2 linked regions of the Coturnix japonica genome follow. The protein of the gene in region 1 binds, or shares a complex with, the protein of each later gene. Links are inferred from orthologs where the notes say so. Each region holds a gene or a part of one and is shown on either strand. Other genes may lie near its edges.

Region 1 (4,559 bases):
GACCTCCAATGACTTCAATACAAAAGAACTTTAAGACCTGGAACTGTTTAAGACCCAGCTCTACCTATTTTCTACCTACTCTACCTTCCTATTGAACAGAAATTCATCATTAATGAAGAACTAACATTTTTAATGCCTATTTCAACAATACAAGACAACCTAAACTTTAACTTTCCATCACTTTTCATAACGTTCAAGTTTCCAAATGTATTACAACAGAAATTAGGTTCTGTTTCATTAGTGGTGAAAACCACTCTTGTATTCTTTTCCAGGCCAAGAAGCTCCCGGGCAATAAGCATCTCCCACAAGCGGCCTTCCAGTACCTGAAGGGAGCTTTAAAATCACAAGAGAAGCCGACTTTTTACATAGTCTGATAGTGATGAGGCAATGGGGAATGGTTTTAAATTAAATAAAGGAGATTTAGGTCAGGTGTTAGAAGAAGAATCTTTATTCAGTGGGCAGTGACACAGCTGCCCAGAGGAGGTGTGGATGCCCCATCCTTGGAAGCACTTAAGGCCAGGCTGGATGGAGCCTGAGCTGCTGGGTGGCAGCCCTGCCCACAGAAGAGGGTTGGAACTGGATGGGTTTTATGGTCCCTTCCAACCCAAACCGTCCTATGACTCTATGAAACTGGAGTGCTGTAGACTGCATGCTCAGTTATTCCAAGTCATCATCTACACCACAGCCTTCTTTTGTCCAAATTCAGTGTCACCATCAGAATGTCCAGTGAACGTAAACTGAGCGTAGTGAATCAGTGCTTTAGAGCATTCCCTCTGTGACTAAACAGAAAGACAGTGCAAATAAGACATTCATTGCTAAGTAGTTATTCATATTTGACAGTGGGCTTCTGAAGTTATGTACCATTGGGAATGACTTGGTGTCCATAGTTAAATAACGCTCAGGAATGCAGGCAGTAATGATTAAAAACATCTAATAAATGTAAAATACTTAAAAGAAGGAGCTTTGTGTAAAGCCATGCCTGTCAAGGCACAGCACTTAGTAGCAGCGAGTCTCTCCAGTAACACCCTGTGTGACAACCAGCTGCATTTATTGACACGGGACCCTACAAAGGCCATGGGGATGTTAATCTCTGGTTTCAGACAGCAGCGATATGGAGAGAAGTTTGCAAGGAGTCAGGCCTCAGAAACACAAGGCTGAGGAGAGTTGGGCTTCTCAGTGCCCAAGTACCTCAACCACGACAGCCATCCTAACAAGGCAGCAGCAGCTACAGCAACAAACTGACACGGATGATTCCAATGGTTGCTGAGCAAGGAACGTGCATTCCTGGAAAGCAATGAATCCTCAGAGCAACATTCAAACAAAACAAAACAAACCCAACAAACAAACATGAAACCCAACCACCAGCACACCCCAAACCGCACCACCCGCAGCCACAGAACAGCAGCTCAGAACACAAGTTCAAAGCAGCAGGACACACCAGTCACGGGGAGAGGGGAAAAGGGGAAAGGCCGTGACTGGAGTTTGGGGGTGCAGAAGAGGCCCTAGAAGGGGCTGCAGTGTGCAAAGCCCCTACGAAATAGAGCAGGGCTAGTTAGGAGCACAAGGTGGGTAGAGGGGAGCACACAGAGCACATCAACCATCTGAGCCTGGGCAGCTGGCAGGTTCTGAAGCCAGAGAGCTGAGAAACTCACCACACTCCTTCCCAAAGCAGGAAGACCCACACCCACACATCCCAGAGTAGGCTCTGCAAGTGCAGGACCAACCCCTGCGAAACACAGCTCCAAACACTGCCACTGCTCGTACCACTCACTGTTCATCTCCCAGCACCTCCCTGCATTGAAGCGATCGCCACGAGCGCGTTTATGGGATTGAAACAAGTGTTAATGACTCCGGGGCTGCAGAACACAACTCCACCCCCTGCTACTGCTGCAGGAGCACTTTTACTGCCGTTCCGACCATCTGTACCATTAACCAGAGAAAACAGATTGCACGGTTTTCCCTACAGTGAGATAAACCACCAGAATTAACGCAACACTGCGAGTAAAACACAACTTTGTTTCAAGTTTTCCTATTAACTGAGGGGGGGGGGGGGAAGCAAAAGAAAAGCTGACGGCTCGGTTATCATTCTTCCGAATTCCTCTAGGAGCATTATAGCTCAGCGCCAGTAGCGAGCCGCAGAGGACAGCGGTGTTGGCTGATAAAAAATACCTTCCTCTGCCCTCAAAAAACGCTCCTTCAACCACATTATTTCCAGAGAAGGGAATATTTTGGGGTTCCAACGGGCTGTTCACACCTGAGCACCCACTCGGAGCCCTGACTCCGCCGCACACCTGGGCTGCCCCGCAGCGCCCCGTTCCCGCTCGGGTCTCACTCCCCGCCCCGCTCACCTCGGCAGCCGGGATGTTCACCACCCCCGTGGATCTCCTTTTCTCCCGCAGCTTTCTCTTCTCGATCTGCCCCTTCCCTTTCCTGGCGCTGGGGCCGGAGCTCTTCCCCTTGGCCGCCGGCTTCTCCTCTCCCTCGGGGGAGCCGGGCGCTCCGGCGGCGGGCGGTAGCTTGGCGGGCTCCCTGCCGGCAGCGGGGCCCTGTGGCGGCGGCTCCTTGCCGGGCACGGCGCGGCCCGGCCCGAGGCAGTTGTTGGCCCCGCCGGCGGGGGGCGTTAGAGCGGCGGGCAGGTGTTGGTGCGGCTCGGCCGTGGTAGGACCCGCCGCCGGCCTGGCCTCGGCCCCCGCCGCCGCAGCAGCAGCAGCGCCGGGTCCCGTGGGCGCCTGCTTGGCCCGCATCTTCTCCCGCTTGGCTTTCCACTCCTCCAGAAAGTCCGTGGTGCTGCCGCTCCGGTAGCCGCCGGTCGCCATGTTCGCGGCGGGGTGGATGGCGGGAGCGCCCCGCAGCGCCTCCGCCGCCGCCCGCCCCGAGGCGGCCGTGCCGCTGCCCGCGGAGGAGCGCTCCCGGCGGGGCGGACGAGACGGGGGCGGGGAGAGAGGCCGGGAGCGACGCGAACACCCTGGGCAGAGACAAAAGGGGCCGTCAGGCGTCCCGCCGCGCCGCCCGTCCCGCCCTGCCTCCCGCCGAGCCCCCCCTCCCCGCCCGGGGCTCCGCTCCCCATCACCGCCGCCCCGGCTCCCCCCGCGCCCGCCCTCACCGCGCCGCCCGCTGCCGTGCCCGCCCGACGCCGCTGCCGGGGCCGGTCGGCGCGGCGGGGGGGGCGAGGCGGGTCCGGGGGGCGCTCACCTCCCGCCCGGCCCGAGGCGGCCGATCCCCAGCGCCGGCGGCACCAGGTGAGCGGCACCACCCCCCGCCCGCCCGGAAGGAGCGGCGCCGAGCCACGGGCTCCCCCCCGTTCGCCCTCCCATTTCTCCATCGCGGAGCGGACGGAGCCGAAGCGAGGGCGGAAAGTGCCGAGGTGACCCGCGGCCGGGCCCGTCACCTGCCCCCCGGCTCTCGGCCGGGGCCGCGCTGCACCTGAGTCCGGCCGCACCTCCCCGCTGCCCCCCGCTGTACGCGCTTCTCCCCACACGTCTGCACTCGGGGTCCCCGTCTGAAGGCAGGAGGATGGGAACGGAGCGGCTCCGCGTCTTCGTTTTGTGGCTTGGAACGAGGACATGGGGAGGGGGGGTCCGGGAGGGATCTCGGTTGGTGACGCTGCAGCCCTCGGCTCACAAATGTCGCTGGGTTGGAAACGGCGAGAACGCGTGTAAAGAAGGAGTGGGGCTGAAGTCTGAAAGTATTCGTTATATGGGCGAAGACACGGTAAAACCTGTCTGCAAAGCTCTGCTTTCACTTGAATTTGCAGCGGCACAACAGCCCCAAGCGCCTGATGGGAGGCTCCTGCAACCTGCCGTGCTATCCATGGCCAGGGCTGCTTTAGCCCTGCGCCTCTCTGCCCTGTGCTCACCCCACCGACCTTCAGTGCCCCTCTGCTGATGGCTCCTTCGCTTGGACTTTCTGCTTCTGTCTCATTTCTGCTCTGGTTGGTGCTTAGGGCTTCTCTGGGTGCAGCAGTTTTGTTCTAAAGCATTGCTCAGTGCCTGGAGCACCTGGGATGCTGGGCTTTTCCATGCAGAAGACACCTCTAGCCTTGCTGGCTGACAGCATGGCCCAAACAGAGCAGGTTGTTGTTCTGTGTGACACCAGGAAGCCATCAGCAGGTGGAAAGGATGACTTGGCAGAGCCAAGTTGGTTGTATTTCACTCTAACAGATTGATTAACAAAAGGCTGATTTAAGAGAAGTTCTGATTGAGCTCCCCCCTATCCTCAGAAAAACCTTTTAACCTTCACTTTACCTTCACAGTTACAAAAGCACGGAGCTCTGTTTGCAGAAAAAGCAACTTAGGTGAAAGGACCCATCGTGTCAGTTCTCAATACGATCAACCACAGAACCATTAAGGTTAGGAAAGGCTGCCCAGATCACAAGTCCAGCCATCACCATGCCCCGCCGTGCCCACATCCCTCCCTGCCATATCCACACAGTTCTCACAGAATCACAGAATGACCCGGGTTGGAAGGGACCTCAAGGATCATGTAGTTCCAACCCCCTGCCTGGCAGGGCCACCAAACATACACACACACATTCTCCAACGCCTCCAGGGATGCTGACT
Region 2 (3,803 bases), on another chromosome or scaffold:
GCAAGAACCAGCCAAGTAAAACCTACCCTGCCTTCCTAGAACCAGATGAAACTTTCATTGTGCCGGATTCCTTCCTGGTGGTTCTGGACATGGATGATGGGACGCTGAGTTTCATTGTGGATGGGCAATATATGGGTGTTGCCTTTCGGGGACTTAAAGGGAAAAAGCTGTACCCAGTGGTGAGCGCAGTGTGGGGACACTGTGAAATAAGGATGCGCTACTTGAATGGACTTGACCGTGAGTATAACCTCTGTATTTGTTCTAGTGACTCAAATCTGTGTGCTACTTAAATGTGCTACCAAAATGTCCAAAAAAAAGGATGTTCCTGATGATAGTTGCAGTGTTTGCAGTATAATCCTGGTGCTTCTTTACAGGGTCTCTGAGGGACAGTTCTTGCAATGCCTTATGAAAGGACTTTGAAAATTCCCTACAGGAAGGAGTGGGAAGATTGATCCCTGTCTGAGGAAATGGAATGTCTCATCTTTGAAGAAAGTAGCTTGCTTCTTTCATGGCAGGCTGTTCTCATTTCTAGTGTGGGGGCTGGATACTGTAGCCAGGCCAACTTGCATGCTAGGTCTTTTACTAATAGTATCATCAATCCCTTGCTAAGCTTAGTAATAGGTTCGGCTGGCCCATATGTGCTAGTCTTATCTTTCATGTGTCCTGTCTTAATGTGGGTAGAAAGCAACACATCCTGGTCAGACCAAGGAAAAAGGGCTGTATAGCATCTCCTGCTGCTTAAATGCTTCTGTTAGACAACTATTTGTTCTTATCCAGTGGCATTATAGCTATTCACTGACACTTCAGAGGAAGTTACTTTAAGGAACTTGCAGAAGTCAAAGGAAGTATTTGCTTACTGTAGGGATGTTGAAAAACTGTCTTAATGCTCAGTAAAAGGTGTATTCTTTCCATAATGTTTTTTTTCTTCCTGCAGTCAGCCTTCTTTCCATCAGCATTTTAGCAGATGAGCTTTTAGAGCAGGAGAGGCTGAATAACACTGGAGAACTGCAGTCTTCTGAACTTGAGAGCTCTTGGCAAAGCATTTTCTCACCAACAAAAAGAAAGAACCAAGCTTATCCTGCCACAACAGCTTACAGAATGGCAGCAGCTCCAGTAACCAGGTTTTTGGGAGGGTCAGATCTAAAACTTGCAGCTCCTTTCAGAGCCAGCAAGTCTGTGGAGCTGTCTGTGCAGAACTGCACTTAACAGGGAAACAGCCACCTCCTGTATTGGATTTGGTTGTAATGTGCTCTCGGCATAGGAGTGAATCATGGGCGTAAGGCCAGGAATGACAGGACGCTATTTTGGCACACACAGAAAGAAGGTGTCTGGCTCTAACCACTTCTCAGCGTTCAATAGCTGCACTGTGTCCAGCGTTTGTAGTGCTTGTGAATGGAAGAAGGTCAGATATGTGTGTGCTTTCTCTTCTGGTCTATCTTTGCAAAGACTGGATTATCAGTGCAAACTAGATGAGGACAAAGTTCTTAATCTCTGTGGGAAGATGATCTTCTCAGCTTTTAAGACTGTTAAATGGGAATTATTTGTTAAGTTGATGCCTGTCGGCTTTGAAAGTCCAGACTTTCCAGTTCTCTATGGCTACTGGCCTCTGGATAGATAATCTCAGTCCCAGCTATCTCCATACGGAGCAAGAGGTGTTGGGACAGATTTGGAATAGAGTACGTTTGTACTTCAGAGGGTACAATTTTTAAGGGTAAGCTACACTGGCAAGTGCCAAAGGAGTATTGCCAGTAATAAGTTTCTCTGGTAGTATCGCAGCCAGAACTGAGACGTGTAGTCCTGCTGTACAGAGAGACCTGTGCCTGCCAAAGAGGCAGCATGGATCTTGAAGTAGGTCATGAGCAGGCAAGAGCGGCAGTGCCTTGGGCTGAGTGTAGCTATGCTCTGCAGGAAGGCACTGAGCAGCCCTGGGGCTACTCTCCAGCATAGAACATGGGTGACAAATTGTAGGGCTTGGGAAGGAGCAGCACTGCCCTGACAGATTTGTTTGATTGCTTTCCACCCACCTATTTTTGCAGGAGAGGTGCACTTAGAGAGGTATGATGCCTCATTAATAATGCTTGAAGCATAAGGACGACTCTGGGGAACTGCTACAAACAAACAAACAAAAACACATAGTGACTACTGACAACACTTCTATGTGAGCTTTCCAGTGTTAGTTGTTAACCATGAATCTTAGAGGAAGGGATTTTTGTCCACTTTATTGACCGACTGGTAAGAAATACAGTAACGTGATCATGCTTAGAAAATCAACAGCAGAGAGACCAGGAAAGCTGAAAGCAGCTGCGTGAACAATCAGATTAATTTGGGTTGTAGTAGAAGCTGAAGCTGGTTGGCATCTATCAAAGTTTCTGAAAACTGCAGCTTCTCAGCCAAACTTATCCACAAAAAATGCAAGTCTTTAGGTGTGTTTGGCCTAAGATGTCTCTAAGCTTTCTAATGCTGAGCACTCAGGCTATTAGAAGGATATCCAGTTGCCTATTTGGCTTAGGATGCCCTTGTTTTAGCTGTCTCTTGGTGGAGGAGGAACCCCCTCCCTTTGAGCAGTGTGCTGTGTGCAGGTGAGCTAGGACAGGCTTGGCTTCTCACTGCTTCTGTTGGTGATCTGTATATTCCTTCCATGCAGATGTGATGTGTTCACTCTGGCTCTGACCTCTGTCTCTTTTATGCTACAAATGACTTTTCAGCAACAAAGGACCCCATATACCCTGCCTGAAAAACTAGTATCATCTTGTTCAATTAGTTCACAAGATGCCAAATTAGATGAGCTGAAGCTGCTGATTTGTGAATGCTGAATTGCTTGGGTCTGGTGAACAAGCATCTGCTCATCTTGTTCAGTTTTTGTGGGGGGTGGGAGGGATTTTTAGAGTTAACAAGATGAATACGTAGCTTGTAGGTTGAGATGTTAATGTCTCGTGTCTTCTCTTTTCCAGCTGAACCACTGCCTCTGATGGACTTGTGTCGACGAGCTGTGAGGCTTGCTCTGGGCAAGGAAAGACTGAATGAGATCCCTACCCTGCCACTGCCAGCCTCCCTCAAGAGTTACCTGCTCTACCAATGACCTTCGTGTTCTGGGACAGAGAGTTGAAAGCAAGGCAAAATGTCTGGAGCTGACCCACTGGACAGTGGGTTTGCGACCCTTGTGTCATTGCTACTGTTGGAAATCCTTGGCCAAAGTACTCCTGTTACTGCTAAAAAAATCTCCATGTGCCCTTATTGGCAAGCTCTCGAGTAGTCTTTATTTCATGACTGTTTTGTTCCTTGGAAGTCACTTCCCCAGCACAGTTTAAAGAAGGAAACTTAACAGAAGCTCTGTGCTTCCCTGCTTTACTGATAAAAGGCTGCACTGCATCCTTGGGATCTTAGAGCCTGGGAGTGGGCCCTTCTATATCAGTTTAAGGGAAGAACGTAGGCTGGGGAAGGGAAGGCACTAAGAGTGAATATCTTAAGACTAGGTGCTAAGAATGGAAAGGCATGGGGTGGCCAGTGGAATTGGGAAGAGTCTGGAATACCAAGAGGAAATCATTGCTGAGTTCTTAAAAACCAAAAAACCCTGACACCAAAACCAAGAACCCTTCCACCAGGATGCTTAATTTGGAGGAGGTGGTTGTATTGCTCGTGTCTGTCCCTGCCAGGACCTCTCACCATGTTCTAATGATACTTCATAGAGAGTGAACATTGCTTTCCCTTTCATCACCATCACCTTCTCATTTCTCCTGCTCCATTCTCCATCTTGCTGCTTCTGAATGGGTGTCTCAGCTGACTGAGCAGCCGCGCCATGTCTT

Evidence for each region.
Region 2: the proteins of PAWR (region 1) and SPSB1 are in contact, whole or in part, in a crystal structure (PDB 2JK9), measured with the Homo sapiens proteins. The link is inferred for Coturnix japonica from reciprocal best matches to the Homo sapiens genes PAWR and SPSB1. Residues at the interface, in NP_001341661.1 of Homo sapiens: Glu68, Leu69, Asn70, Asn71, Asn72, Leu73, Pro74; in NP_079382.2 of Homo sapiens: Arg77, His78, Pro79, Val80, Ala81, Gln82, Gly110, Thr111, Tyr129, Val216, Trp217, Gly218.

The regions. Positions count from the first base shown.
Region 1 is NC_029516.1:35,911,810-35,916,368, forward strand, and holds the start of PAWR (PRKC apoptosis WT1 regulator protein), read right to left. Parts: upstream 2,944-4,559; 5' UTR 2,817-2,943; coding exon 2,349-2,816; intron 1-2,348. UniProt on the Homo sapiens protein: Pro-apoptotic protein capable of selectively inducing apoptosis in cancer cells, sensitizing the cells to diverse apoptotic stimuli and causing regression of tumors in animal models.
Region 2 is NC_029536.1:2,840,101-2,843,903, forward strand, and holds part of SPSB1 (SPRY domain-containing SOCS box protein 1), read left to right. Parts: coding exon 1-237; intron 238-2,951; coding exon 2,952-3,079; 3' UTR 3,080-3,803. UniProt on the Homo sapiens protein: Substrate recognition component of a SCF-like ECS (Elongin BC-CUL2/5-SOCS-box protein) E3 ubiquitin-protein ligase complex which mediates the ubiquitination and subsequent proteasomal degradation of target proteins.